2 linked regions of the Cricetulus griseus genome follow. The protein of the gene in region 2 purifies or fractionates together with the protein of the main gene of each other region. This does not show direct contact. Links are inferred from orthologs where the notes say so. Each region holds a gene or a part of one and is shown on either strand. Other genes may lie near its edges. The genes, in order: Prkra and Dicer1.

Evidence for each region.
Region 1: the proteins of Dicer1 (region 2) and Prkra purify together in Homo sapiens (co-immunoprecipitation; 4 studies listed by BioGRID and IntAct, with this or other methods). This does not show direct contact. The link is inferred for Cricetulus griseus from reciprocal best matches to the Homo sapiens genes DICER1 and PRKRA.

What each region holds. Positions count from the first base shown.
Region 1 is NC_048599.1:98,394,432-98,410,418, reverse strand, and holds the start of Prkra (interferon-inducible double-stranded RNA-dependent protein kinase activator A), read right to left. Parts: upstream 6,824-15,987; 5' UTR 6,648-6,823; coding exon 6,583-6,647; intron 6,017-6,582; coding exon 5,847-6,016; intron 1,481-5,846; coding exon 1,399-1,480; intron 373-1,398; exon of another isoform or gene 26-372; intron 1-25. Other genes in the region: Pjvk (pejvakin), read left to right, coding at 9,177-9,387, 10,132-10,327, 11,084-11,225, 13,846-13,963, 15,460-15,558, 15,756-15,987. UniProt on the Homo sapiens protein: Activates EIF2AK2/PKR in the absence of double-stranded RNA (dsRNA), leading to phosphorylation of EIF2S1/EFI2-alpha and inhibition of translation and induction of apoptosis.
Region 2 is NC_048598.1:190,315,939-190,331,162, reverse strand, and holds part of Dicer1 (endoribonuclease Dicer), read right to left. Parts: intron 14,153-15,224; coding exon 13,973-14,152; intron 13,865-13,972; coding exon 13,651-13,864; intron 13,451-13,650; coding exon 13,297-13,450; intron 12,898-13,296; coding exon 12,715-12,897; intron 12,452-12,714; coding exon 12,346-12,451; intron 11,831-12,345; coding exon 11,655-11,830; intron 10,430-11,654; coding exon 9,649-10,429; intron 5,860-9,648; coding exon 5,704-5,859; intron 2,743-5,703; coding exon 1,869-2,742; intron 351-1,868; coding exon 82-350; intron 1-81. UniProt on the Homo sapiens protein: Double-stranded RNA (dsRNA) endoribonuclease playing a central role in short dsRNA-mediated post-transcriptional gene silencing.

The sequences.
Region 1 (15,987 bases), on a different chromosome or scaffold from region 2:
ACGAGATAGACGCATATTCACTTACAATGCTGCATGCCGAAGCTACGCAAATAATTGGGATGGAGAAGTGAGAAAGTCTCTGTATTAAATCAGACCACTGTAGGCCTGATTACAGCTTAGTAATTCTCATCTTATCTGTCAAGAAGCACAAATACATAGTAAAGTTTGTTAGCCTTTCATGGTGACAAAGTGAAGTGCCCATGTGCAGAGAGGACATGCTGTTTGCTGATTTTGACAAATGTACCCAACACTCTGAGATGATCTTTGGGCTGCACAGAACAGAAGGGCCACTGCCAGCAGGTGGAAGGTCTCAAAAGCCGTACTACAAGAAGTGTGACTTGAAAGCCATCATAAGTCACTTCCATACAGAGGGATAAGCATCACCTTGTTGTAGCCACGCCTACTTAGGGGCTGGCTACAGTCGCAAGCATGGTCAGGTACACCTGTAGCCAGCCCCTAAGTAGGCGTGGCTACAGCTTCCCCTACACCTTGTGAGGTTCAAGGCTGGCCTGAGGCAAGCACTTACCATGAAGGTAAACAGGTCACTAGTTTTAAATTACCCAAACGCTTTAGAATGACTGAGAGAGAGCTACTGCATGGAACCTAAATATATTCCTAATCTGTAAGTCTCACTATGGCTAGAGAACAAAAAACCTAGTATACCCTAAATCCCATTGGCCCTTTGGCCAACTACGGGCAGATTACACATGACTGAACTCCAGGCATCTCTGGGTGTGTGTCAGAGAGGAAACTGAAGGCATGCTGTGTTCCACAGTGTGCCCAGTGTAAACTAAAGACACCATTTATGAGACATACAATGATGTAAGACTAATACTCTTTCTAAAACCACTGACAGTAGAAATGTCTGGAATTACTACCTCACTTAACAGACCCCTGTACTTTATACAGGAAAGGTATACCTTGCCTCCTTTTTCCAAATGAGAACTCCTAAGAGTACTTACAACTAGGTAGAGTGATATATGCCTATAATACTAGCATCAATGAGGATGAGATGGGAGAACCATTAGTTGGAGTTCAGCCTGGGCTACATAGTGAATTTGAGGCCAGCTAGGCTACAGAAAACAAAGTAAGACCATCAATTAATTAACAAATTAATACCCTGCATATTAAGAATATTAATATTGGCTATAAATAATGATTGCACCCCAACACAAACCACTAAAGCCTAGTTCATGACAGCATTCCTTTAACAGCTACTACCAGATCTAATTGGCTTAAATTGTCTTTAATGGATGGCAGGCTTTCACAGATATGGAATTTTAGAGTGAAGATACCAACAACTGTTCATTCTGTTGCTTTTGTGAGCATGTTAAAATTTTTCATCTTACCTCAGCCATGAAAATTTTGAGCTGCAGAATACAAAGAAATTTAGCTCACCAAATACTTGCATTGGCTTTCAAAATGTTTATGGCAGCCTCTGCAGCTCTATGCTTCGCCAGCTTCTTACTGGTACCTTCACCTGAATTAAAAATGGGGGGAATGTTCTTAGTCTCTGTAAGAAGTATGGGTTTCATAGCTGTGGTCACAGTGTAAAACAAAGTCACCATAGGCATGCTTGCTATTGAAACCATCCACTATATGCAGTTACATTACTAAAACACTCAACATGTGAAATCAACACACTAAAGCCAGTCTTAAAAGTATTATTTATTTTGAGTTTATGTATACCTATATAAAACACTATTTATAAGCTAGATCATATCACACCTCCCTAAGACACAGAACTTAGCAAACAGAACTTTGTTGTGGGATATCTGTATACTATGTAAAAATGTGTTGCTGTGATTGGTGTAATAAAAAACTGAATGGTCAACAGCTAGGCAGGAGGCAAGGGCAGGACTTCCAGGCAGAGAGAAAGTAGGAGATGAATCTAGGCTCACAAGAGACACCAGGGAGACTCTAAAGAAGTTGGATATATGGTATAGATCAGAGGTAACTAAGCCATGCAACAGAACATAGATTAAAACAAATGGGTTAATTTAAGAGTTAGTGGGACCAGCCTAAGATAAGGTCAAGCTTTCACAATTAATAAGAAGTCTCCATGTTATAATTTGGGAGCTGGCTGGAGGGACAGAAAAAGACTTATTACATTTGGTGCCTAATGCATGGCATGTAAATCCACACAGGACCTGAGAAAGCTGAAAAACAAGTTCCCAGGAGGCTCTTTGCTTGCAGCATATACAGGCCCTGCTACCAAGACGCGCTGCTAGCAAACAGTGGAATGGGGTTTATAAGCAGCAGGCACTTGGTGGCAGGAGACTAGGTAGAAGCACCTACTGGAGCTGGGGCAGATAGACTGGCTCCAGGCTGGGTCTGCAGGCCTGAGGCTACACTCTCACCAAACTGAGGGGGATGGAACCAGCTGCCATAGCTGCCTGGTATTCCAGGTATCTGACGTGGCCACTGAAGGTTTGTCTTACAGTCAGAGAAGGCTGCAGGTGTGCAGCAAAATGGTCCAGACCAAGAAAACTTTTAAACAGATATAGTAAAAATGGTAATAGATGGTCATAGAAAGAAATAGTTTAAAAATAATAAAGTCTCTAAAGAGAAAGTAAAGTAATATAAAAATAAGCCCTGCTGGGCAGTGGTGGCACATGCCTTTAATCCCAGTACTTTGGAGGCAGAGGCGGACTTCTGTGCATTTGAGGCCAGCCAGAGCTGTTACATGGAGAAACCCTGTCTCCAAAAACAAAACAAAACAAAACAAAACCAACCAAACAAAAAAGAATAAGCCTCATAAAAATGGGAAACACATAGGGTGCCTGGATCCTGTATGGTACTTTGTTGACTTTGAATTTTTAAAGCTAATGTACAAAAACAATAGCTGCTGAAGACACTGGATTATGGAAACTGCTAAATTAAACCAACTTATATATTTTAAGAATGTCTTCACTTCCGAATGGAAGTTGGAGAATGTGTTGTATTTGAGGAGAGGCTATGCTTTTGTTTCCACAGGTTCTCTTCAAAATTAGTAAAGATAAGATAAAAATCTTGATTATAAACATGAAAAAGAGACCAAGAAAGACTACAGAAAAGGCAACATCTACATAGGAACAGCTCTGAGACTGAACAAGACATGATAAAACTTGTTGGCTAGAGAGTCCTCATGATGTATTATTACATGCCATCCTTTCATATGGCGTGGATAGAGGTTTGGTTACACAGTCCAAATGGACTTATAAAGTTGACAGATGCCTTTTACCTGCTGAAACATAAAACAAAGAATGATTTTTAACTGACTTGTGTATACTGTAAATTCCACATTTGTGTTAATACAGATATATATATGTTACCTTTAAAAGTTTGTATGTTTTCAGGAAAAAAAAAAAAAAAAGGCCAGACACCATAAAGACAAGTAATCCTGGTGATTCAGCCTCTCAAAAATGCCTCTGTTACAGTTTAATCAAAATTCTGCATCCAGACCAACTTCAAGGCTGCTGAGATGGAGCAGCCTCAAAGACTATCCAGTCAAACCTTCAAATGAGCTTTACACTTTCCCATCACACAGAGATTAAAAAAAATAAGAACACAACTAACTTTCCCAGGACTTAACCATTATCTCAATTTTCTCAGGGTCCCCAAAAGATGTTGTTGCCCCCAGACAACAGGAAGCAGTCTAGAGAACACCATACCCACATTTCATGGTTTTTGGTCATTTGGTGAGGTATGGATATTTGTCATTATTGGTCATGGTCAGGAAAAAGCACTAAACAAAGGAGATTAGAGCCAAAGACCTCTTTCTGAAGGGAAAAGGAGGATATAGTATAGAAATGATGGGATAAAAGGGTGGATTGTGGAGTCTACTTTTGAACAAATATTAGTCTCATATATTTTACATTGGTGTAGATTTTCGTATTTTGATACAAATTTAAGGTTATTTTTATTATGCGATATATATGTTTCTACTCTTATTTAAGATATTGTACCTGTGCAGCTCATTTAAAAATGTAATGTAATGTTCTAGTCCTTGAAAGCCATTGAGGACAATAAAGAAAAACAGGTTAATAGTCATCTATAGCAATCTAACTCATGTTAAGTATGTTTTCAAGGTCAAACAGATATATTTTAAATAGATGGTCTTCAAACACTTCAAAGACCTACAGAATATGGCATTTAAAATGTTTTGAAAACATAAGGCTTTTCATAACAGTGAAACATATCTGCTCCTGACAGCACCAATTTACTTCAAAAAAAGGATGATGGGCATCAGAGAAACTCCCTATGGAGTTTCATTTCAATGTGACAAAGGTAGCCTTTTGGGATAGCCATTTGACAAAGCTAGGCCCTTGCCTCAACTGCTGACAGTATACTGTTCAAATTGGACAAACAGGACACAAAAGAAAGTGACTGTCAAACTTTGTCAAGACAAGGTAGGACAGTCCTTCAAAATTTATGCTTCACAGAAAAGTTTGTCAGATATTCTAGAACTATAGGCCTAAAATGCATGCTCCAATGTTATAGAGGAACCTTGGGTGACTGTCCAGGCAGGTGAATCTCTGTGAGTTCAAGGCCAGCCTGCTCTACTGATTGAGTTCCAGGACAGCCTCCAAAGCTACAAAGAAACCCTGTCTCAAAAAACAAAAAGCAAACAAAATTGTCTCTTCTAAACCTTCATGTATATAAGAACTGTTGTGGAATATTAATTTAAGATGTGTTATATTTGATAATGCTGTGAAATATTTGTTTAATGATTCAAAGATGTGTTACATTTGTTTGATTAAAAAAATTAATCTAAGAGAAAGGAAGATAAATTAGAATGCCAGAAAAAGCATTCTGAGTTAGACAACAATTTTATGGATTGAAATAAAATGCATTAGAGGGGAAAATGGCTTTTTTTCCCCCTTGAACACTCCTCACAAATATTTAAAAAATGACTAGTTAAAGTAGTAACTCAATCTAACCATGTGGATTTCTATATGGAGCCTTCCAGCCTATACCTACAATCCATCTACACACATAAATAAAAAGAGTTTCAATTTTTTGAAGTGGCTCCAATGACTAGACAACCCCAGATGCTCAGATACAAATATATGATACATTCAGATTACTAGACAGTGGAACTTTAGCTTTCCCTAAATTTTTTCTTTGTATATCTACAAATTAAATTATTCAACATTTTCATGCTTTTAACTAAATAAGTATATAGGAAAATGATGTCCACATTTACAAATGTCAACTCTGGTGGGCATTTTCTCAGACTCAGACTGAAAGAAGATATGAATCTGAACTGTAAAACCCCATTATTGTGTGACCTTGGTCACATGGCTTATGAAAATGTCTCTGAACTTGCTACTTCATGAATAAAAAGGGGAAACCTTATTCAAAATACCTGTATAGTATCTAGAATGAGAAGCTACAGTGCAATACAGCTTGATGGGATACAGTACAGGAGTCTCTGCCTTCCCAATATTTCATAGACACAGACTCAAAAACGGCACCAAGAATCCAAAGTTCCAGATGTGTCCATAAAGGGGGGAAACTCAGAAACTCTGAGGTCAGGCCTACATCTGCACTTGTAACTGTGAGAGGTAATAGTACCTACTGACCTAGCTATGACAGCCCAAGAACATTTCCAGTTTCTAGTTCTTAAGAGGAACTTTAGCAGGCTCCCTAGGTATAGGATGCTTGGATACCTTCTGCGTTTCTGAGCTTCTTCCATCTTAGGGAGACAAAAACTAGGGAGCGAAACACATGAAATTGATGCGGAGTGTCTCCTCTGCTCCCATAGGTGACTTTGGCAAAAGGGGGCACTTTTCCTAGCCGAAAAGCAACACAAAGTCAGGACCGTCAATCCACATGGTCATGGAGGTTAACTGCATACAGACCTGTGCAAGTTATGTCACCAACGGTTACTCTGAAGGTGAAAGTGGGCACGTGAATTTGCACATCGGATCTTTCACATTCATAAACTGGAATGTTCTTGGTCTTCATGCCGTATTCGTGCAATACCTGAATCGGTGTTTTCCCAGGCTTGGCTGTTATCATCTTGCCCAAACTGCAAAAATCAGAAAAAAAAAAAAAAAAAGCTTTACATGTCACAGCTGATAGGGAAGCAAAAACATCCACTTGTCAGTTTTGACAGCCACAAATAGTGACCAAAAAAAAAAAACCAAAAAACAAAAAACAAAAAACAAAAAACAAAAAACAAAACAAAACAAAACAAAAAAAACCTCCACAGCTCCCCAGAAGCCAGGGTCAGTGGCAAGGCCTGGGCGCACCTGTCTTTGGGCGCTATAGCCTATCGATGAGGGTAGAGAGGTCTGTACAGAGAGAACTTGAGTGCAGTGGGAGGGATGCCGAAGGAAACCGGGTGGGCTCGGGAGCTGCAGGCTACATCAAGCCTACACCCGAGTCCTGCACCCCTGGTCATATATCCCCCAGATCTGATAGTTGCCGAAGGGGCGGGGTGCGCGGCAGATCCCCCGGCCCGGAGGGCGGGTCCAGTGCGGTGCCTGAAGAAGGAGGGGGCTTTACCCAGAATGCAGCCCGACAGCTGGCTCCCCGCCCCTGCCCCACTGCCCACCCGTCTTGGGCCTGCGGCCTCGACGGCCCAGCGCTGACCTGAAGGTCCCGCTGTCCTCGCGCTCCAGCGGCGGGGCCTCGGCGCGATGCCTGCTGTGGGACATGGCGAGAAGGGACGGCTGTGCACAGTGACCGAGAGCAGTGTGGATCTGGGTCTTCCCTCTCCACGTCGGCCAGATCCCGAGAGGAGCTTGCCTGCACTGCTGCCTGGCTCCCCTTCCGATAGCTGCTTGCCTGTCTCCAGCAAAGGGACAGGCGGAGAGGGAAGGAGAGGCGGGGCCTCGGTGCGGAAGAGCCGGCCACACCCCCTCTCTGCCCGGCCTTTGGGCTCCGCCCCTCTCTACCATGCTCCGCCCCTCGCCGTGCCCTGTTCCCCTATGCCACAGCGCTGGGCGCCTTCCCGGTTTCCTTTCTGAGGGTCCCTGATCTTCCCAGCTTCGGCCCGCGCCCAGGTCCCACCCTCTCTGCCAGTCCCGGCTCTTCCCAGCTTCCAATGCTTATGCTCGCCTGGCCCCGCCCCTCATCTCCTAGGTTCCACCTCCATGCCAGTCCCAGCTCTTCTCAGTTCTGCCTGCGCCCCGCTTCGGTTCTCCGGGTTTCTCCTCCCGCCTTTAGTGGCGCAGAGGCTCAGTCCTTTGTCCTTAGAGGGAGGCCCTTTCCGGTGAGAAAGCTTCTAGTAGGCCGAGAGCCAGCATGTTTGAGGAGCAAGGACGAAAGACGAAGGGCTGGGTTGCTTCAAGAAAGATTCGAAAATTCCGAATGCAAAATTGCTAAGAAAATTCCGGATCTTCGCCCCAAAACTTGAGACCGGGGAGCGTCGGCTAAAGGGGCACCAAGCTATCCCAGGACCGGCTGGTTTAATAGTACTGGATCCCTGAAATCCTCTCCTGCCTGGCGGGCTCCTGTGGTCTGCAGGCTTTAGGACAGCGTTTCTCAACCTTTCTAATATAGCGACACTTGAATACAATTCCTCAGGTTGTGGTGAAACCCCCCACCATAAAATTATTTCGTTGCTACATAATTTTACTGCTGTTATGAATCGTAATGTAAATATCTCATAATCAGAATATCTGATATGCAACCTCCCCCCCCCCCAAGGGTTGTGACCCACAGGTTAAGAACCGCTGCTTTAGGAAACTACAGGATTCCGGATGACCAGGGAGGTGGGGTGCACAGTAAGGATATCTAGACCAGTTAGTTTCCAGGATAGCTCTTCCCTCCCCTGCTGGTTTATGCGGAGAGGAGTTATGATGTTAGTCTAGGATGCTCCGCCTTCAGAGTGTGTTGTGGATGTGTCAGACAGCGATACAGCGAATTTTAGAGGTTTGTGAACTACTTTGCACAATGACACCTGTGCTTACTTACCTGATGCTCTAGAATTAAATTCTAGAAATGTTCTCACGAACAGACAGCTATCAGTTATTTTTTAAAAAATACACTTTTTTTTTTTAGGTCGGAGTACAAAAGTAGTTGGTTTTGTGACTGAAATTTGGGTTTGGGTGCATGTGAGACCAAATACTTGGAAGCAAGTAAAAATATCCAGAATCGAATCAAACTGAATTCTACTGGGGCTTAGGTTAAGCCTATTCTCTCTTCCTTTATTTCTCCATAAGTAGTATAGGTTACTACCCAATAATGCTATTATATTACACTCATGTGTTTAATGAAAATTGTGTTGTAATAACCACTTTCAAAATATGTCAACCACCTACGGCCATACAATATCTCAGTATAGTGTTTTGTTTGTTTTTCCTAGAATTTAATTTAAATGGGTCCACAAAACTCCTTAACAATAAGCCAAAACTTTAAGTAACTAGTTTTCTAGGTTGGGTGATTGGGACAGTAGTGAGCAACAAAAAGGATGTAAATTCAGCAGAATTCTATCAGGTGATATAGTTTGAGCCATCAGTTTAAAGTAAGAGACTGCCATAGTAGTTTTTAGTACATAATGTAATTTGTAACTAAAAGCCTTTAGTATTCTATAGAGAGCTGCTTACAATTGTCCCTCTCTATTCTGTGAATTGATATTTAGTACTAAACACATAGTTTTATAAGCACACAAGATCCCAGTGAGAAAAATGCTGAATACTGTGAGGATTCAAAAGTGCTTTTCTGTTTGTTGCCAAAACTCACCTGCTGGCCTGGTGAAGGGATTCCTTTTGGATGATGTCCACCGTAGATCATATCCAGGCCTAATGTTAGGGCTTCAATTGCACAGTTTCCCATAGGGCTCTAAGCTCCTTCGGAACTGGTTTATTGCTTGTAGCAGAGCACTCTCAACTGTGGTCTCCTCAAGGACATTGGTCATGTGTTGAATTAGTTTTTTTTGTGTATGTTTTAGTTCTGTAGACTGCCATTCCCAGTTAGACTTGCTTTTGGCGTATCCTCTTACACTGCCATGTATTATTCATTACCTGAGTTCATGAGGGGAGGCAGTGTTGTGAACTGCACACCGGTAAAGTACCTGGTGAGAGCATGCTTTATACTTCTAACCTGCGTAATTGGATTTAACATCAAACAAGGCTCGGTTTGGTGTCTGATTTTCTTCATCCAAAATGGGTTTGTAAAAAATTAATAATAAAAAAATGGGTTTGTTGCCTGAGGGTCGCAGTTGATGACATCTTGATATTAATATGTTTGCTGCTGCTACCAAGAGCTTTGTTAAGCAAGTTGGAGATGGAGGGAGATTAGTGCCTGTTCCGAGCCTCAGCGAAGCGGACAAGTACCAGCCCCTGAGTCTGGTGGTTAAAAAGAAGCGGTGTTTTCTGTTTCCTAGACACAAATTTACCTCAACGCCTTTCACGCTTAAAGATGTCCTACTAGGAGATCGAGACATTTCAGCTGGTAAGTTTAAATGTTTGGGAGTGACTCTCCATGGGGCTGTATCAGTAATAACCTAATGGAGGTTGTATAGATTAATTATATTAATAATACACATTTTAAGAATAAAATCAACCTTTATGTGGTAGTAGTATCGTTAAGAAGAACAATGCTTAAGTGTTTATAGCTTCAAATCTCTTATTGCTTAATTTTAAACCCAATTATAAGTTGTTTTTAACTAAATAGACCAAGAAAACGGTGTATTTTGTCCTGTATAGTATAGGATATTATTTGGTCTTACCCATTTCACATGATCAATAACTGAAAGAGATTATTTTACAGTTTATTACAATAGGTAAACTCAATTTTTAAAAATGTGGGTGCTGGGGTATTAAATTCAGACCTTCAAGCTTACAAGCAAGCTCTTTACCAACTGAGCCACCTCCCAACCCTGAACTGCTAGATTATAAAATAGGCCTGATGGCTAGTCATTAGCTATGGACACTTGTTTTTGTTTCAGCTACCCATGGATCTTGATTGATGTATATGTATTCTGTTGTCTGAACAGAGAATTTGAGGTTTTTTTTTTTTTAAGTATTCTGTAATATTTTTGTAGTAAAATTGCCTGAAATGCTACTTCTCATGTGTTTGGAAATGCTGTCGAATTAACATCTCGGCAAAAGAATTTTTCAGTAATGTTAACATGATACTACATAAAGTCTAAGATGAATTTGAGACATTTAAAACTATTAAGTTCCTTCTCCTAAGGCATTTCATCTTATCAGTTACTGAATTATGAAGATGAGTCAGATGTCTCCCTCTATGGAAGGCGAAGCAACCATATTGTGAATGATGTTGGGATTAATGTTACTGGATCTGATTCCATCGCAGTCAAAGCTTCATTTGGTGTGGTAACCAAACATGAAGTAGAAGTATCAACATTACTCAAGGAAATTACTGCTCGGTCAGTACAAAGATCCTTGTGTACCACTGTATTCTCATTAAATGATTTAACTGTATCAACTCCATTGCAAAGAATGCTTAAAACATTTTGGTTGTGTTTTAGAAGTTAATAAATATTTTCCCTTCATTTGAACGACCTACATGTTAGTGCCTAATTAGTACCCCAACCCAATAAAAACTCATTTGATAAGCATTTTTAGTTGTTTCACAAAACATCACTCTGGTTCTACATAATTTGCTAAATTAATCAATTGAAATAATATGATCTGTGTTTCCAATAGACTCTCAACAGACAGAAAAGAACATTCCATAGAACCAGGAGAGTCAGGTGTGGTTGTACATGCCAGTAATCCCAGATATTTGGGAGAGTAAGACAGGAGAATCACAAGCCTGTTTGGGCTATATAGTGAGTTCAAGTTCTTCTTGGGCAGATTATTGAGGATCTGTCTAAATAAAGAGGGGGTGGGTGACTGGGAGGTGGCTTGGTGATAGAGCACTTGCCTATATGCACAAGGCCCTGGGTTCAGTCCCCAGTTCTACAAAAGTACAGCCATGCCTGCACTCTATAAAATAAGAAAAACCATTGACAGGAGAGGCAAATTTGTTAAATGATTTATATTTTCTGATTTGCATTATAACTGCCTCGAGTCACAGTGAGTTAAGATGGACCACAAATAACACAACAGGTACCTTTAATTCTGTATAACCACATATTAAAACATCTTGTGCATGTGTCTTTTTTAAAATTTTATTCTAGAAAAATTAACTTTGACCACAGTTTGATCCGCCAATCAAGGAGCAGCAGGAAGGCCGTGCTGTGCGTGGTCATGGAAAGCATTAGGACCACGAGGCAGTGTTCCCTGTCTGTGCATGCTGGCATCCGAGGCGAAGCCATGCGGGTAAAAGTTTGGAGAGCAGCCAGATTTGGTTCCCAGCACTCTCGTGGTGGCTCACAAGTGGTGATAACTCCAGTCCCAGGGATCTGATGCCCTCTTCTGGCCTCTGCAGGCACTGCACATGCATGATGTACATGTATGCAGGCAGGCACTCATACATATGCATAAAAAAGTAAAAAATCTTTAGAAAAAATTTAAAAATAGAAAAGTATTTATATTGTTTATCCTTACCGACTAGTGATACCTAGTGCTGATTTGATAGGTGACATTTTATAGTAAAGAAAATGAAATTATGATTTTGTAGGAAAATGAAATTGTCAAGTGAAATAAGCCAAACACAGAAAGGCAAATATTGCATATTTTCTCTAATATGTAAGATCCAGCTTTGAGGGGTGTGTGTGTGTGTGTGTGTGTGTGTGTGTGTGTGTGTGTGTGTGTGTGTGTGTGTGTGTGTGTGTGTTTATGTGTGTGCATGTATTTGTGTACAGGTCATGAAACCATAAAGAAGACCATAAAAGGTGAAGAAAAGATTGTGGGGAGGAGGAAAGGAGATGGAATACATGTGATATGAAAGCAGAAGGGAAGAGTACATGAGGGTGGAGATTAGTATGAAGGTGGTGTAGGGGACACCCTAACCACGCCTGCTCAGGGCTGGTTACAGGTGTGCCTGGCCCTGCCCTCTAGGGTGTGGTCAGGGTGACTAGAGGGAGGTTTAAGAGTGAGGGCCACACACCTGGGAGCCCCTTCTTCCCCTTCTTCTTCGGCTTGTTCTACTTACCTCGTTACTTGCCGGTTGGCTAGGCTGTTCTGAGTAAGTAGGGCCCTCCCTAATAAATATCCTTATCAATATTTAACTCCGTATTGATAATTCACCTTTAAGGTGGAAAGGGGAGGGCAGTGGCAGAGGACAAATTAGAACAAAGTGCATTCACACATACACACACACACACCTCATTATGAAAACCATAAATTTATTTATTTTTTGTTTTTTTGAGACAGGGTTTCTTTGTGTAGCTTTGGAGCCTATCCTGGCACTTGCTCTGTAGACCAGGCTGACCTCAAACCCACAGAGATCCGCCTGCCTCTGTCTCTGCCTCCAGAGTTCTGGGATTAAAGGTGTGAGCCACCAACACCCAGCACTAATATAATTTTTAAAGTGGGATGTTGGATGGCTCTGTCTATAAAGTACTTGTTCTGCATGGGGATCTGAATCTGACCCCAAGCAAAAGGATGGAGGCTACGTGTTGCAGTGTGCATCAGTGATTCCAGCACAAGGGAGGTGGCAGAGAGAGGAGGATCTCTGGGACTGGCTGGCCTTCTAATAATCTTACCCAATCAGTGAGCCCCATGTTCAGTGAGCAACTATCTTAAAAAAAAAATAAGATGGAGAGCTGACCTCTGGCTTCCATATATATCCACATACATGTGGTCATATACCCCCATGCATGTGTACACACATACAAACACATACCCATGCATATGCCACACACATAAATGAAAAGAAAGAAAAAGAGAAAAAAACTCATCTTGTAGACATTGAACATAGACCGGGCCTAGCAGAGGCTGGGCTGGTGGAAACAATGTTATTGTTGGATAGGATAGGGAAATTTAGTCCTGCTGGCTCTTGACACAGCAGAATGAAGATAATTATGTCCCATACTTCTCAAAATGGTTAGAGGAAATGGATGTACTTATTATAAAGAAATAGTGAAATTTTAAGGTGGTAGATTAATGCACTAATTACCCCGAGTTGATCACTGTCCAACGTGCAATGAACCAAAGTAGCACATTGCCTCTCGTAGGTGTGTACAAATATGGTGTGTTGATAATTCAGGAAAAAAATAAAATAAAACCACTTGTTAAAAATATAGGACTAGGACCAGTGAGATGGCTCAGAGTAGAGAGCTTGCTGCGCAAACCTGGTAACCTGAGTTCTATTCCCGGAACCCATGATAGAAGAAGAATGTTTGCACAAAGTTGTCTTGTGATATCTCTGCATAACCTGTGGCATGCACACCATCCCACACACATCATAAAGAAACACCTCTTAAAAAAATACAGGATTAAGTCATCTTTTCAACCCCCTCCAGTTGTAATTTAACACATTATGCATCTCATCTATGCAAGATGACCAAGACATTCCAGGGACACTAGGTGCCTTCTCATAAAGCTATCCCATTATATTCTTCACTACATTAGGAGCATTCTGCTCAGAGTCTGTATTCAGATATCCTCCAAATTCTGATTAACATCCGTCATTTGAGGGGCACAAGCTGAAACATTTACTCGATGGTGGTCATTTTTGTGACTGGGAGAGCTTCCTGCTGCTGTGGGGCTTCTGAAGTAGATGGGCAAAGCTAGAGAAGGGTTTATGCAAGAACACTGTGGTGACACTAATTGCTGACTTCAAGCCTCAAGTGGGGGAGCTAAAAGGTCACCAGCCTCTAGGTGACCTATCATGCATGGGTGTCCAATGGAAGGGTTAACTGAGGCAGGGCAGTGCTTTACTTGAGTAGGTGGCTGTGTTTTTTTTTTTTGCGGGGGTTATTGGAAGTTTGTTTCTCCGACAAGCTACCCTGCCCTGCTGTGTAATGATGTTATTTTATCCATTTGTTTACTGTAGTTTCATTTTATGGATGAACAGAATCCCAAAGGAAGGGAAAAAGCTATTGTTTTCCCAGCACACACAACTATAGCTTTCAGTGTTTTTGAACTCTTCATTTACCTGGATGGTGCCTTTGGTGAGTAAAAGATATGTAAAAGTTCAAATGATTTTTTTGGGGGGGTCTTCTTTTTTTTATTTGAATTACAAACAAGATTGAATTACATGACAATCCCAGTTCCCTTTTCCCTCTCAAGTGATATTTTTAAGGGGAATGTGATAGGAATGAATTCCTCTCCCTCTCCCTCTCCTCCCCCCATTTCCCTCCCTCCTTCTCTCCCCCTCCCTCCCTCCATCCCTCCCTCCTTTCCTTGTCTTTGTCTCTTTCCTTATGTCTCCCCTCTCGTTTTCATGATTACAGATGCATGATGCATTCAGTAAGGTCAGTCTTATGCTAGGGTGGAGGAAAGCACCTTGTCTACTTTCCCAGCACCTCTTTTGTGCTTCTTAGTGAAGACCCTATACTACCCCACTTACAGTTACAGGTTAGGAATAAAACAAGGTCCAGTGACAAAATATGCCTTAGCTTTTGTGGGAAGGATAATAAATGACTTCTAATAGGCAGCTTGTAGAAGTGGCAAATAAGGAATCCGAAGGCAGTAAGTTGTCTGACGTCTCTGGTGCCCAAATGGATGGCATTAGTTAATAGTCAACCAGTCAATCAATCAATTTATACCTGCTTAGATATAACTTCCTAGCTGCATGTTCTCTTAAAAATAATAAAAGAAACATTTTAGAATGCTAAGTGCTTCCTCTACAATTGTCATCTTATATAGCAGCTCACTTTAGCTTTCTACATTTCACAGGACTTTAAAGTTAGTTAACTGCCAGCCAGAACAAGACCAGATATAGCCCCAAAGGACCAGGCAAGGGAGTCCCCTAGTTATGGTCATTTACATTTGTAGAGCTTCTTTTGTTAATTTCTGTAGTCCTGGAGAAGGGACATTAGGAAGTCTAGAAACAAAACTACATTTTAAGTAAACTGAACTTTGAATCCTGTAGTCAGGTTTTGCAGTTATACTGACTGTATTGTAAAGATGAGTACAAAACGACATTCATCAAATGTAATCTATCTATGTGCACATTTTTTTGGCCCTTCGTTTCCAGGAATTCATGCTTTAGGTATACTGAGACATATGCACAGTGACAGAGTAACAGGGTCTTTATTTCCTAAAACAAAACATTAGAAATAGCCTTGGGGGACCCAGTAGTGATACATCCCATGAGCACAACAGAGGAGGATAACCATGATGAGTGGGTAGCTCTGGGCATGCAATGATCTCTGAGAGGTATTTTAAAGAACTATGCATGATAGTTTCTGGAAACTCTGCGTTAAATCAGCACACACAGAGCTTCTAAAGGATAACAGGCCTGTGCCACACTGGCTCCATACAGGCTGGATTGGAGGTGTGTCACTGTATGACTTTAATCTCTCAGTTTTGTACTTGTCAATGTATCATTTCCTCAAATGTGTAAAGTTTAACTTTATCTAAAAAACAGTGAATTGCATGCACGAGAATTCTATCCTCTACGAAATACTCAAATATTAGTTAACATCTCAAATTTGTTTCGTAGACCTTTGTGTCACATCAGTGTCAAAAGGAGGATTTGAAAGGGAAGAAACGACCACCTTTGCCATGTTCTACAGACTGAGAAATATACTCTTTGAAAGAAGTATGTCTGCTGAAGGGGGTTTGTGAAGGCATTCTTCCTGTGTCAATATGTGAGGCTGCCTACTCAGTAACCCATCAGTTAACATGTTTAAAGCCCAATTATTTCCTGATGGATGGTTGGGACTGATATCTTTCTAAATGCTGCTTGGGTTGCACAATAGTTTGGAATTCTAACACATTTTGGGTTCTGTTTTGCAGATAGGAGAGTGATGGATGCTATCTCTCGTTCCCAGCTTTACCTGGATGACCTCTTTTCTGACTACTATGACAAACCTTTCAGCATGACTGACATTTCACTCAAGGAGGGAACTCACATCCGAGTGAACTTACTAAACCACAACATTCCTAAGGGGCCTTGCATACTCTGTGGAATGGGGAACTTGAAAAGGGAGACCGTTTATGGCTGCTTTCAGTGTTCTGTGGATGGAGT
Region 2 (15,224 bases):
GCCATGAGTCAGAGCTCACACTGCCCAAACACAGTCGGCTGCTTCCCTCAGCACTGAGTTCACAGTTTAAATAGCACTAACCTCAGAGTCCATCCCTTGCATCTCGTTCTTCTCAAGCTGAAACTGCACAAAGTCGTCAATGACATGGAAGAGCTCGGGAGAGACAGCTTTAAAGTACTTGTGGTAGTCATACTTCACAGCCAACGATGCAAAGATGGTGTTGTTGACCAGTGCAGAGCGCAGGTCAGTCAGGACCCCTGGGGAATGCTGCCGCGGGTCTTCATAAAGGTGCTTGGTTATGAGGTAGTCCAAAATCGCATCTCCCAGGAATTCTAAGCGCTGGTAACAATCTGCGCAGAGATCCAAAGTGCAACGGTGAGCCTGCATGAGCACATGCACTTTCTGCATACTCTGTCTGCGTGGGAGCAGATGAAAAAGTTGCAGTCCCAGGCTCCTTTCGAGACTTCTACCAAGAAACATTTTCATTTACCTTCCTCAATGAAATTATTGGACATATATTTGCTAATGTGCCTGGAAGTTAAGTTTTAACAGCAACTGAAAGCATATTTCTTATATATAAATTGGGTCATATAATCTTCAAGTGCCCAAATAATATGCTTGTTTTGGAGGACAAAAGGCACTTTCCAGACACAATCAAAGTCACAGCACCCCTTTCCTTGGGTTCTTACATTAGCCAGACAGGCACTGCGCATCATTCCTGTGTCTCTAGCACATAGTGGCATCTCAGTAAAGCCACATACCCTTTGTGCACTGTCATCAAGGCACTGTAGTGGTATAATTCCTTAGCACTTTCAGGGTTATACGGTACATGAGATAACAGCAGGGAAAACATGACTCTTCAACTCTAACTAGACACACGAACCTGACACAAACCAAGGCACTAAGAAAGAAGTTGTGCACTAGAATAAAACCCCAGACAAAAAGGGTTGCTTGTCAGAATGAAAAGCTACCAATGCTGACCAGCACTCTGATTTTCCTCAGGGTCATTAAAAGAATTCACTGAGCTGAGAAAACTGAGGCTGGGACAGGGCGCCCAGTTCCTGAGTACCTACTGGGTGAGGAGCAGGGAGAGCCAAGCCACCCTGGAGTCCAGGCCTCATAGCTTCTAGCAATGCATGCAAACTATGCCATTTCCTTCCCACACAGAAAAGCAGGCTTTAGTTTAACAACGTCACTTTCAGGTTTTATATTTTGTAAATGGCTTTAACCTATCCAAACTATAAGTTTTTTATTTTGATTTGATATGTTTGATATTCTTATACAAAAAGAAAAATAAAAAACTTTATCTGGGTCCAGAAGCTGAAGCTAACTGGCTCTGGGGACTTACTCTCCTTTTATTAGGAGACTACTAAATAAAGAAGGCGAAGGTGATAACAACAGAACAAAGGAAGTAACAAGCCCTTCCTATAGAATAGTTCTGTTCCTATAGAATAGTTCTGTTTAATCTTCTCATCTTTAGATTTAAAAAGCCCAGAAGAGAGGTACCTTTCTGTCTAGGAGCAACAAAACAATGTGGAAATATAACCTGATTATATGAGTAAATCAAGAAGCTAAAGCAGCAATGAATATCCCCGAGAAAGGTATTTAGGTAGGAAAGGATAGGAAACAGCAAAACACACAGGCTTCAGTTTCTAAGCCTGCAGCCTGTGAGACTCCATGTATGACAGGATGTAAGAGCCGCACCTCAACTGCCACAGTCACAGAGCATTCCTACTCCCCAGTGATGGAGAGCATAAAGAATTCTGCTCTCTGAGACTTCCACCCCCTGCCACGCACACTGAGCGCTAAGACTGCATACACGCCAGAACAAAGCACTAGACACAAAGTCTCCTTGTTGGGCTCCTTACCAGTGATAGTGTTGTAGTGGTAGGAGGCATGTGTAAAAGCCTGCAGAAGGTAAGCCTTATTCTTGAATCTGTAGTTGATTTTCTTCTCAAAATTTTCAAACCCAGATATCAGGTGGTTCAGGGTTTTCTCTGCATCTGGATGGTCAAACATACACCTTGGTGGGATCTTCAGGCAGCCATACTCCAAGTCTTTCCCTGCAGAGGAGCGTGGGCTGGCTGCAGTGGCAGCACAGCTCCCTGAAAGGCTCTTTTGTTGGCTGCTGAAGTTCTCCTGAGCAGGGTACAGGGCCTTTTCCCGGCTGGTCCTTTTGATGACTGGGAGCACCTTGAGCCCCAGCGAGCAGAGGAAAAGCTGAGCGGCCCTCTCGCCGCAGCTGGTTAAATAGCAGCCCAGCAGGGCCTCCACACAGTCCGCTATGCTTTTGTCAGCAATGCACTGCTCCGTGTGCAAGTCGTAAGAGATGGACTGCTTCCCTGTGTCAACGCCACAGTTCTCTTCTGATGGATTCCAGAAACCCACCACAAAGTCATCCTCTTCAACGGCTTTGCTAGGATCCAGATAACACATTGCATCCCAAGAGCTGTAGTCAAAATCCTCGAGGTCTGAGGAAAACGGCATACTGCCCAAGGAGGACTTTTTGGGCATTTTCCATTCATAAGCAGAATCGGAGGTTGAAAAAGGAGAAAGAGAAATTTTCTTCACAAAGGCTCCTGACCCCATTAACATGCTGTCTATAAACTGGATGTGCTCCTGATCATATTCCAGGAAGTCGTCTTCATACTCAGCCTCCTCTTTGGGAGCCCTCCACGTCAGGGCCTCCTCCTCCTCACAGTCCTTACCTAGTTTGCCATTAGCCAGCAAGCAGTCTTTTGTCTGAAACGGGGAACGGGAAAGGAGAGACAGAGCCGCTGTTTTTAAAAGAGTTTGAAACTCAATAAAAGCAAGGGTTATGGATAATTTCAAATGACAACCACAAATACTAAAAGGCAACTTTTAAAAATCATGGCCATTTGTTTTCAATTAACATTAAATAAGTTATTTAATCATATAAACAAAGTCAAGCATGTTCTTTGAATGCTCATTTTCTAAGTTATAAAATGACCTTTATCTAGTATAAATCTGTAAGTGAAAAATCCTGAACATGGATAAAGTTAAAATTGATGTCCACCATGCAAAACGTCAACTGAGTAGCCCTAACTACTGATACAGCCCTTGTGTGTCCATCAGAGGCCTTTCACTTAGCTGACAGAATTTGAAAATATGGTAGCCTGACTTTCAAACCAACAAAATGAAATTCCAGATGTAGAAAGAGCACCATCTTTTCAACTATATGCATAATATAAAAACAGACAAAATTTAAAAAACCTTTAATATTATAAACTACAGTAGGGTTTTATAATACTTTCTATTTCCATTTCAAATCAAAAACTATTTGCTACAATGTAAAACTAAACTGCTTTGCTTAAAAAATGAATGTGACCACTGAAAGAGGGGATGAATTTGTGAAATTATTTTTTCACCCTCTATTCTGAGCCATGGTATTCAGGCCAACAGATCATAACAGACTGACAAAATAGAAGAAAATTTAGACTAACATGAAACATAACAATCCCATTTCTGTCAAAAAAAAATCTTTGCTAATTCCAGTATCTTTGGCAAAAGCTTATTTGTGAATGACAACCTTAATAACGGGCTACAATTCAGCAGTGATGTAACCTCTCAGCAATGCTAAAAAGATGCTCAATTTCTGCTATACCATAAACACAAACTCACCTGGGCAGAGCCACCACCACTGCACTTGGGGCAAACAAAGGACAGTAAGCTTCAACTTTGACTGGGACAACTTTCCTAAGTATCCTGACAAAACACTTGCAAACTATTACCCAAGTGTTTTTCAAAGAGGCATATATTTCATTTTCAACCAGACTCAAAAGAGTTAGAAATTTGCTTGAATTTGTGGATTTGCTTGAGAAAATAAAATAACAGTGAGTCTAGCTCTGTAATCACGCACAGTCCACTGTTTTAAAAAATACACAAAACTTCTTCTGAAAAATAAAGAACACCAAACAATCAACAGGGTGGAAGGGATGGCTCAGACATTAAGAACACTGGCTAATCTTGCCAGAGGACCCGGATTCCATTCCCAGCACTGACATGGCAGTTTATAACCATCTGGATCAACACCCTCTTCTGGTTTCCACAGGTACCAGCATCTACTAGCTACACACACATACATCCAGGTAAAACACTCAGCAAGTAGCAAATCTCAGCAAACTGTCAGAACCTTTGTGCCTTTCCAAGATAAAATGAGAGGCTTTGACTACTTTTTGTTTCTGTTAGTTTTATCTGAGACAGGATCTCATTATGTAGTCTTGGCTGTCCTGGAACTCACTGTGTAGACCAGGCTGGTCTTGAACACCTGCTTCTGCATCCCAAATGATGGGAAAAAAGCATGAACCACTACACTGGCTTTATTATTTGGATCTTACAACAAAATGGGCCAAATTTAAATTACTCAGCCTGAGCTTTGCAAAGTTTCTCCATAAATCACTGTGTCTGTAACATGGTGGGCCTCTTGCACTCTTCATTCTCACAAGAAGATGTACTTCAGAAATGCTCTCCAAAGCACAAGTAGCCTCTGAAGAGTCTGTGTCTCAGACAGTACAGTCTACCTGAGCTACCCTCCCTCTTTCTCTTCGAAGAGGCATTCAGACATTGAGGCAGAAGGAACTGTAAGGACACAAGCCAAAAACATTTTGTGATTTCCCAGTGTGTCAGTTTAAGTAAAGCAGCAGATGAAAGCCTGAGGAGTACATTAGTGTATGCCAAGAACCACAGTGCTGAGTCGGCAGAAAAGGCCAGGAACCAGAAGTTGTAACAGTGTTGTAACATCTATTTCAGGAAAGTCCTGATATGTCCCTGACACCTAAAGGGTCAAATGGACAGAAAAGGAGGCCTGCTGACTGTTTTTTCAGAGATGAAATACTTTTTCTATGGTGTGTGTGTATATATACATATACATGTATGTAAATGTTATGTGTGTATGTTCTAAATCAGTAACAAATGTCATCCTTAGATCTAACTTAAAGTAAAATATTCTCTTAATGCAGCTAAGCTGCATTTCTGTGATAAGTCAAATCCTACTTGAGTTACATATATACTCAGCAAACAGGCCTGTATCAGAACAGCTTCCCAGACCACACCACTACATATGCTTAGGACTTATTGGGATAGAAATGTCCGAAATGAGGCATGAAGATGTTGCTATTTATAAACTTGTACCTGGCAATCAGAGTTGCCTGAGCAGATGGTAACTTCAAAGATGTATAAGACAGCTCTCTCCCAGCCACTAGCCCAGGGCACACAGACCTCCCAGCTGCCCCCTGGTGGCTTTTGGGACAAGACAAAGGAAGCTGTGGCTGCTAAAGAGATGAGTCTTCAGTCTCTGGCAAGACTTCAATTATTCATAGCATACTACAACCTTCCCAACCTTCCCATATGATGATCTGTTGTCCAATTTGCAAGAGCAAACAGTCTCAAGCTAGCCCTGCATCGCATAAGCTAGTGTGTGCTGCAGTGAATTCTTCTGGACACAGCCTGGTGATCACAGGTCTGCAAAGTCACTTCAACAAATAGCTAAGGATACATGAGAGTAAAGGGAATCTGAAAGGGATCTGATTTTATTTTTAAGTGGAAACATAACAAAATTTTATCCCCCTAAAATGAACACTATTTCTGAGGTCAGACAGCCTACCAACATATGAAATATCTACTACACTGCAAATGTGCTCAGTCAACAGAAACGGAGGTGCTGCTTACTGAGCGCTTGCTTACCATTTCATCCTTTTCCCATTTCTCTGCATTACTTTTGTCTTGATTGACCACATAACCAGGAGGAAGCCAATTCACAGGAGGATCAAATATTGACACTACCATGCGGCTGGGCAGTCCCTTCTTCTTGCCAAGGCGATACAGGTTACAGTTGCTGACCTTGGGTGGAAAAGAGTCACAAACACTTACCCATAAATGGTCATGGCTGGAAAACACACATGCCAATGTCCTCTGTACTACACAACCAGTCACCAAACATAAGGACCACACAGTTTTACTACCTATTTTTAACAATGACTAAAAATTCCCAAGTATTGGATATCCTTTGGTGTCATCAAATGAATATTCACTACAAATGGAGTCACAAAAACCTAATGTATACAAATTCCTTTCCTTATATACTAGTCAGAAAAAGAGCTCAATTTCAAAGTTGTAAAGCACAGATTGATAATATGAAATGCAAGACGGCAAGTGCAACTGGGAGCAGAAGATGTCACGACGCTGTGACTCGAGATGTCATGATATTCTTAACAAGTAAGGGAAGGACATCGTGTTACATGAAAACTGTCACTGTTATAAAACCATTGTATTTCTCTAAGCACCAATATAACTCCAATCCTAATATTCTCAAATACTGTTCTTTTGTTGTGGGTAACATTTTAAGACACTGGAATAAAAAGTGTTAAAGAACATTTGTTGTACAAGTACATTACTCAGGCAGCTTTATTAATCTTTCCTCTAGTCCACTTGCTTTTCCTAATGGCTCTATCACATCCCTAACCTACTTAAAACAGTAGCTGTCTAGCTTTCATTTGGAGACTAGGATCTAATACCATCAATTTCATTTCCAGTTTCTAAAATCGTACTGGAATACTCCAGGAGCCCTTTCCATATAACTCAAGTACTACTTAGTCAGCATGTCGCACCCATGATCAGCAGTGGCTAGGCAGTCTGGTAGAAAGCAGGCAAAGGGACAGAGAAGAGTCCTTATAATGTGTACAGACTGGCAGACAGCTCTGACTGGGACTACCACGTGCCAAAGTATTTCCCAACTGTCTATAATGGAGCCAATGTACATAAATGCTGGTTTCCTTTTCCACGCTATACAAGAGCATCCCAAGAGGAAGAAGGCAATAAGAGCCCAGAGAGAGAAAATATTCCAAGTCAGAAATGCTTGGTGGAATGGAAAATATACAACTAAGGACTTGATGAGAGGCAAAATTCAAAGCCAAGAGGACCAGCAATGAGGAAGATCACAGTGAGGGCCAGCTTTGAGCAAGGACACAGGCTGTGCAATGAGCATGAGGCTTGTGTCAAGAATGGCAAGCAAGAGTCTGGTCAGGATCTGTCTGGAAGAGCATTCTGTACACACTGGAACACCAGGCAGAGGAAACAATTATTTCTGCAAGAAATCAAGTCAAAGGGCTCCAAGTAGATGAATGGATAAAGTTTTGAATGTTAAAATAATAAAGTATCTTTCTTGCTTAATAGGGTCTAATATTCTTGTTTCAAATGCCTTCATGACTATGACCTTCATCCTCTAACGAGCCCTGAGACCTTCAGGACTGAGTTCTAGCTTCTAAGCATTCTTCCAGTCCCTATACCACAAGGTCTAAACAACCAGCCCTGCCTGATGCCTCGCTGTCTTTCTCATGACACTTGCCACTGCCACCCCCCACTGTAAGCTGTCACAATTGTCAGGTCATTGCACCGATGGCCTGTCCTAAGCTCACCGGGAAGTCAGCCAGCATGGATGTGGCCTCTAGTCTCAGACATACTCCTAAATATCTGGGGCTGGTGAATAACCTCACACAAGCTCATGCCCCTATCATCTGCAAAATGGTGGCACATGTCACTGCAATGGAACTGCAGGGAGATTAAGTGTTGTTTGTAAGATGTTTACATGTCTGGTGTTTGAAGCAAGCTGCCATGACTGGGACAGGCAAGGAGGCCCATAGCTATACTGTCAGCTCAATCCCAGCTCTGCTCCCTACCACAATGTTTTCGGGTAAGTTAAACCTCTCCTGCCTCATTGTCTTACCTACCAAATGGGCATATAAAAACATGCACCTTTCTAGGCTATAAGAAAACTTAGATTAAATTAAAGAAATTAGTATTTGTCTCTATACCTTCATGTATATGTTTTACATAAAAGAACTAGAATAAGAAGTTTGTTGAACTAAAATGATTTTTTCTGATATTATCACTCACCTCAGTCCCTTCCTTTCAGCCATTTTTGTTCTGCTTTTGGCGTAGCTGTGCTCTTCAGCCCATACTACACCCCGGGCCACATCAGTCTCTTTAGCGGTCAGCCTACTAACAGTAGCATCTCCTTGCTCAAACTTCCTCTCAAGTACCCACAGCATGTGCACTCCTGTGCTAAATCCTCTTCATACAGTTGGGCCTCTTCTCACACCTTCCCTCAGTTGGTTTCCCAGTCCCCACTGTCACTATTGAGTGCTACCACACTCGGCAGATGCAGCATTGTTTTGCACGATAAGGCGTAGTATAAGGAGGTTTCTGTCCCACCTGGTCCCACAGCTGTTTAGTCCCAAATACACACAGAGGCTTATATTAAGTATAAAAGGTTTGGCCGATGGCTCAGGCTTCTTATTGGTTAGCTCTCTCTTAATTATTAATACATTTCTATTAATCTATGAATCTATGCATCTCTATGTGGTCTTGGCTTACCAGAGAATGCCCAGCATCCTACCTTCCTGGTAGCTACATGGCCCCTCTCTCTCTCTCTCTCTCTCTCTCTCCCTCTCCCTCTCCCTCTCCCTCTCTCTCTGCCTCCCTCTTCCCAATATTCTCCTAGTCTGGTATCCCCACCTATACTTCCTGCATGGCTACATACTGCCTGTCCACTGGCCGAAACAGCTTTATCCATCAACCAATAAAAGAAACATTCACAGCAAGAAACATTCACAGCATACAGAAGGACATCCCCATCAATAAGGTTTCCCATGAGCACATTCTCTGACTCACAAGTGACACTCCATCCTACTTAATGCTAGATCATTAGCAGCTTTGTAAGTTGTCAGAGTTCTGTTTTCTATTTTATGACCACTTAAATATTTTACCTTAATTACTGTTCTTCCACACTAAGCTTATGAACTAAGCGAGTAAAGTGTTTGCTCTGCAAGCATGAGTTTAGATCCTTGGCACCAACATACAAACCAGGCGCTGTGACACTATCTGTAACCCCAGTGCTGGTGGGGGAGAGGGCAACCACAGAAGACGGGCAGATCCCGAGGGCTTGCTGGCTACTTTAGCTGAATCAGTGAGTTCCAAGCTCTGTGAGAGACCTTGCCTGAAAAAATACAGAGCTCACTGATAGAAGACACCTAAGACAGACCTGCAGCCTGAACAGATGCACACAGCTGAACATGCTTGTGTGCTTATGCACACAAATAAGCATGCACATATGTACACATAGGAAAATAAAAAGAACTTACTTTCTTGGGACTGTGGAACAACTGTTCAGAACTATGGGGCACCACTGTCTACACTGGGGAAAGCCTGATGCTCTTCCCTTGCTTGCCTGGCTCCCTGAAATTGGGAAGAAGTGCAACTCTTGGAATGACTGCATCTTACTCACATGCATACATTTGTTTACCAAAGCACTCTCTTAACCAAAGGCACAAGTCCCTGAACAGTAACACTGGCAATTTCTACCCCTTCATGATCTAAGAGTTCCACCCATTTGCACAGAGGTTTATTTAAACTGAACTATCACTAGAGAAGGTTATCAGCCAGCCCCACAGCCTGGTTGTACCATTGGTACACAGCTGTCATGCCACCTATGGGCAACGCCCCATGGGCTTGGCTGGCCCAAATATACTAGAACACAGCTGCACTGACGCGTGGAGAAAGCTCCATGGGTAACCTGCCCCATTTTCAGGCACACTGAAGAAGCTACAGCTCAGAATAAAAACCGTGCCTTACCTTTTTGCTTCTCATATACGAAAGGCGGCCCTCGTGAGCATCAGGGTAAGTGCAAAAGAGATATGTGGTGATAGCATGTTTTAAAAAGGAGTCGCCAAGCATCTCAAGCCGCTCCAGGTTAAACCCATCACTAGCATTTGACAGTGTCAAAGCCTGAAGAATCAGTCCAGGATTGGGGCCAAGAGTCCTTGAGGAGTACCCAGCAGAAGGGCTCTGCTCAGAATCCATCCTGTCCTTGAGTGCTCTCCCAGCACTCATCACGGCAGGCATCGTGGACACCGCGGGGCTTCCATCTGAGGTAGATGTGTTAGCGTTTCCATCAAGGTATTTATTACTCAGTAGAGTACATTCATTGCTGGGCTTGGGCTGGTTCTCATAATGGTATAAATTCTGAATGGGATATGAGGTAGTTGGTTGTACAGGTATTTCCTGCTTGAAGTAATTCAGCTGATTTCCTTGGCAAAAGTCTCTGTTAACTAAATCATAACTGCCATTGGCAAGATTTTTGTTGTAAGAAAGACCATTAATTGCTGTAAGGTCCGTTGAAACTTCAATTTGGAGCTTACCAGATGACTCAGCGGGTAGCCTTCTGCAGTTCACAGACATTTGGTCATGGTTTTCTAAGGGGGTTCTAGTAGCACCTTGATGTGCAGCATTTTCAGGGACTATAATTGTGCTGTGCTTACAGTAATTATCATTTTCAGCCAACGAGGAGTTACAAGTTGAGATGAAAGACTTGCTATCAATAGATTTTTTCCACCCGAAGTCTAAGTTAGGGTATCTGTAAAGACATTTTTATAACTTTCTATCCATTCTTCAGAAGGGTAAGCTCAGAACAGCAGCATTTTTGGATTAAAAACTAACAAAGCAAACAACTCTAAAAGTCCTCCTACTTATGAAGAAAAACACAATCCCAAGCTTAAAAGAACATAACTAGAGATTCTGCACATACTCAACTATAATGCACAACAGTTTGCTCTGGGACTTCTGCTTATGCACCCACAGCACGGGGCTTGAGAAGATCCAAGGAGGAGGTTCCTGTAGGACCTGGAGCCACAAACTTTCTGCTTAACCAAGTAAGCAGCTTCAAGCAACTTATAAACTCTGCACTTGGAAATGACATCCTATTCAGGACAGGACACAGAACAGAATGAGTTAATAAAGGCTATGTTGTTTAAACTAGTGTCTCATACTAAACCAAGCACTCAACTATTATAACATTATCTTTAAGTTCTTCCAATCCTAGAAGAACATCTATATAACCAAAATTAATTTGAATGATTAAGTAAAAACTTCTTTGGCATACGGAACTTTACTAACAGGGAAAAAATGATAAAGAACAAATGGATGGGGCTATAGAGATGGCTCAATGGTTAAGAGCACTGACTGCTCTTCCAGAGGACCTGGGTTCAATTCCCAGCACCCACATGGTGGCTCACAGCTGCCTGTAACTCTAAGATCTCATACCCTCACACAGATGTATATGCAGGCAGACCACCAATGCACATAAGAATAAACAAATTATTTTTAAAAAGCAGAGACGGAGGCTGCTACTTTCTGATATGTAACTCATTTTAACTGCTTTCACCCTCATTTTCAACATCACCACTGAAGAAGAAATGACTGCTCTGTCTCGGGAGCTTGTCTCTAACTTGACAGGAACAAAAAGTTCAGGACAAACAATACAGTTAACTTTCATGTTTGTTTTTTTGTTTGTTTGTTTGTTTTGGTTTGGTTTGGTTTTTCGAGACAGGGTTTCTGTGTAGCTTTGGAGCCTATCCTGGCACTCGCTCTGGAGACCAGGCTGGCCTCGAACTCACAGAAATCCTCCTGCCTCTGCCTCCCGAGTGCTGGGATTAAAGGCATGCGCCACCAACGCCTGGCAAATTCTCATGTTTTAAGTGTCCACGTTTTCTTTTCCATCTTTTAGTAACTGAGAAAAATATAATTTTGACTTAATTTTATTTTGTTGTAAATTAAATTTCTGGCCAGCAACACAGGCATACCTAAAATCCGCAGGAAGTGATCTGACTCCCACACCAGCATCGCTGGCTGTCTGAGCTCTTAGCTCCTCTGCAGTCAAAAGGCAGTGAAGGCGATAAAGTATGCTGGGGAGACAAACTGCTTTTCTCCACAGTGATGCTGGGATTGGATGTATAGCACAGAGTTCCGGAACCAGTATCTTAGAGTAAAGAAAAATATAGGCTGACAATATAGAGCACACACACAAATAATCAAAAGACCAATTTCTCTAAGGGATAATGATGAAAATCATAAATGCTATTAAAATCTAACTTCAAAAACTAATCCAATTTAAAACCTAAATTGGATTTATGAGGGTGATTTCATGATGCATCAACGGACCAATGTTAACAGCAAAACTCAATCCTTACCAACAAGGAGATTCAAAATAAATTCAAAACCCATGGTGACCTCCCAGAAATTCACAAGTCATTGTTATCAATATATTATTGAGACTATTAGGTCATGTTTGAACAGATTGTATTTATGTATGTGTGAATGTATGTATATAACAATTAATGAAAAAAGAGGGCATGAATTTGAAAGAGTTGAGGAAGGTGCATGGGAGTATTTGGAGGGCGGAAAGAAGTGGTAAATGATGTAAGTATATTAGAGTCCCAAGAATAAAAGAGCCAATTAAAAAACCATTAGGTCACGCTAGTAGCCATTCATTACCTGTTTGTTCTGCAGACTCTCCCATTTGGCTTTCCTCTTTTCAGCACTGCTTAGAGGAAGTGCTTTCCCCTTCTGATTCAAATGCCGAGGTGTCAAAAGGTTAAGTCTATAAAAATTTCAGAGCAGTTTTATCAAACAGGCAAACAACAGTACACCCTCACAGTGGCTGGACTCCAGCTTTAGTATGCCTACAAGCCACCCAAGGAGCTCATTCAGCACAGCCCTCTACTACCCGGGCAAGTCTTTGTGCAAATGATCTCTTGATTTCAAAGTCCATGGGTAGGCAGAGGCACCCTGACCCTAGAAAGTAAGCTGCTCCCCTACCTCACCTCCCCATCCACACCCAAGTGTCATTTCTGCAGCTCTTACCTGGAAGAGGTGTGGTCAACATCCAGCAGTGGCTGGTTGAGATTGGTCAGGTCAAGGTTATACTTTGTTTTATAATATTCTGCAAAAGTTTCATACTCGGGGGAAGGAAATTTACTGAGTGGGGTAAGATCAGTATACACATCAGCTACATAAAATCGATGAGGCTGATCAAAGTTTCGGTATCTAAAAATAAAGAAAATCAAGTTGCCTTTTCGTGCAAATCAACTATTCTCAAAGCACAATTAGTTTAATATAGAAACATGCACCATCATTAAGAATTCAAATGGCTAAAAGTAGATAACATTAACAAAATTTAAATACCAAAAATATATTTCAAGAGTTTGAGAGGGGTAATTTTTTCTTTAAGTCTATCAATATTATTTACATGAGAAATAATACTTTTCACAAAGTAAAAATTTTCACCTACAGAGGGAGTTTTTTGAGTTTTTGTCTGAATGAAGTGAACTGGAGAGATGTGTTCATATCTGGAGCACTCCACCCTGCTTCACCCACACCCTCAGGCACATGAACAAGCACAACATTTGCAAATACTGCCATTCTCCTTTGCACTCAAACACCTACCTGGGAATGATCACTGCATCTTGGTAATCTTCTAACTTAAAAACAAACGGTGTTTCTTTTGAATACTTAGTGCTGGGAATGCCTATTCGAGCTTCAGACTTCTCAATATCCTCCATGAATGTAAAGTCAATGTCCAGAGTGCTAGAGTCATTAACTTAAAGAAGAAAGAGTCTTTAGCATGGTAAATATAACCCAGAGAAGATTGCTCTATAAGGTACACTAATGTGAGTCTCCAGTAAAGAGTCTGTCAGTAAAGAGTGTTCACAGGATACATAGTAAGCTAAGTTTCCAGCAAAAGCCTCACTGTGCAGCTACAGCAAAGTGGCACAGACAATAAAATGGGCTCCCCCTTACCGACATTAAGAGGTAGAACACAGTATGCTGACTCAGCGCCTGTTGGTTTAAACTCTAGGGCGGGCTTCTCAAGCCGAAGAATGTGTGAGAATATATACTGGTGGAGTCTTGTAATCAGCTCAAGCATTTGTTGAGACAGTGTAAAGCCAGACTTCTTCAGCTCAATGGATATGGTGACTTCTCCAGAGCGTGTGTACACAGGAAAGTGAGGAATCTGAGCAAAAAGAAAAGCACCTTTTAGTCCAGAGGCATTGTACTGCATTAGTTTATTCAATCTCTGGGTACCAAGTGGCACTTTCGACAGACATGGTGAAGGGGCTACCTGAGGTATGGGTTTGGCTGTCAGGATCCCAAAGCATCTTGTGGTGTCCTCAGGAGGGTAGAGTTTCCGTCGCCTGAAGTTGAGCTCATCAGGGAGGGGGGTAGTTAAGACCATCCCTATCACATACAGGTAACAAGGCTGATCGGGTTTAGGGTAACTCTCCCTCAAGCACTCTGGGATCTAGAGTTGGAGAGAAAAATTAAGCATCAAGCTCAAGAACAAATAACCTTTGTTCTAGATGCTGGCAAGAAATTTATTTCTGTTAGGATTTTTTTTTTTTAAATTGATTTCGCAGTGAAGTCAACACTGGTCTGGTCTGGGCTTCACACTGGCCTGTTTACCTATGTTATAATACTCTGCTCATTATACTTTCATGGAATATCAAAAGTATGTAAAATGGTCTTTAAAAAATTAGATCATTTGATCTATTTCTTTTGATTGAAAAACACTTTAATTCCATGATTTTCTAAACTATTTACGTACTACAGAGTATCAGAAAAATAAAGGTAGACTAGTTTTTAATACTATGTATAACCCCATCACTCAAAGATAACATTCAGATATACTATGTGATTTCTAAAACGATTTTATTAAAAGAACTTTTTTCCCACCATACAAATCACATCTTAGCACCAATGGGACAAGAAGAATTCTATTTTTCAGGACAAATAGAGTCACTTAACATAAGACTGAGTTGAGGGATGTGTGCAGGAGGGGAAGGAGGGAAGAGAAAAGGGAGCAGAGAATGGAGAGGGAGGAAGGGTTTTTGTCTCAGTTACTACAATGGGCCATCTTTCACGCGTCAGTGTCACTTTTTAACATGTATTATCTTTATTTATTTGAGAGAAAGGAACGTGGGTGATAACTCAGGTGCCACACACGTTTGTGGCAATCAGCCTGTCAGAGCCAATACTCTAGGTCCTGGATGTTGGACTCAAGGCAAACGGGCCTGCTGAGCCCGCTCTGTGCCTCTAGTATAATTTTTATGAGAGTGAATCACAATCAAATTAGCTCAGATTTTCTGAGCTTTGAATTTTAACAGACTCGTAGATTAGGGTGCTACAGCTCTGAGATTCACTGGCACACTGCACTGGTAGTTCACAGTTATTCCTGTTATGCACTGGCTAAAACACAGTTCTAATTATCAAAGAAGACAAAATGGGTTGGTCCAGGAGGAGGCAAGAGGCATCCCAAGTGGCATTTATTACAACAAATTTGTCCAAGAGGAAAAGTGAATACGAAGGGGGAAAAA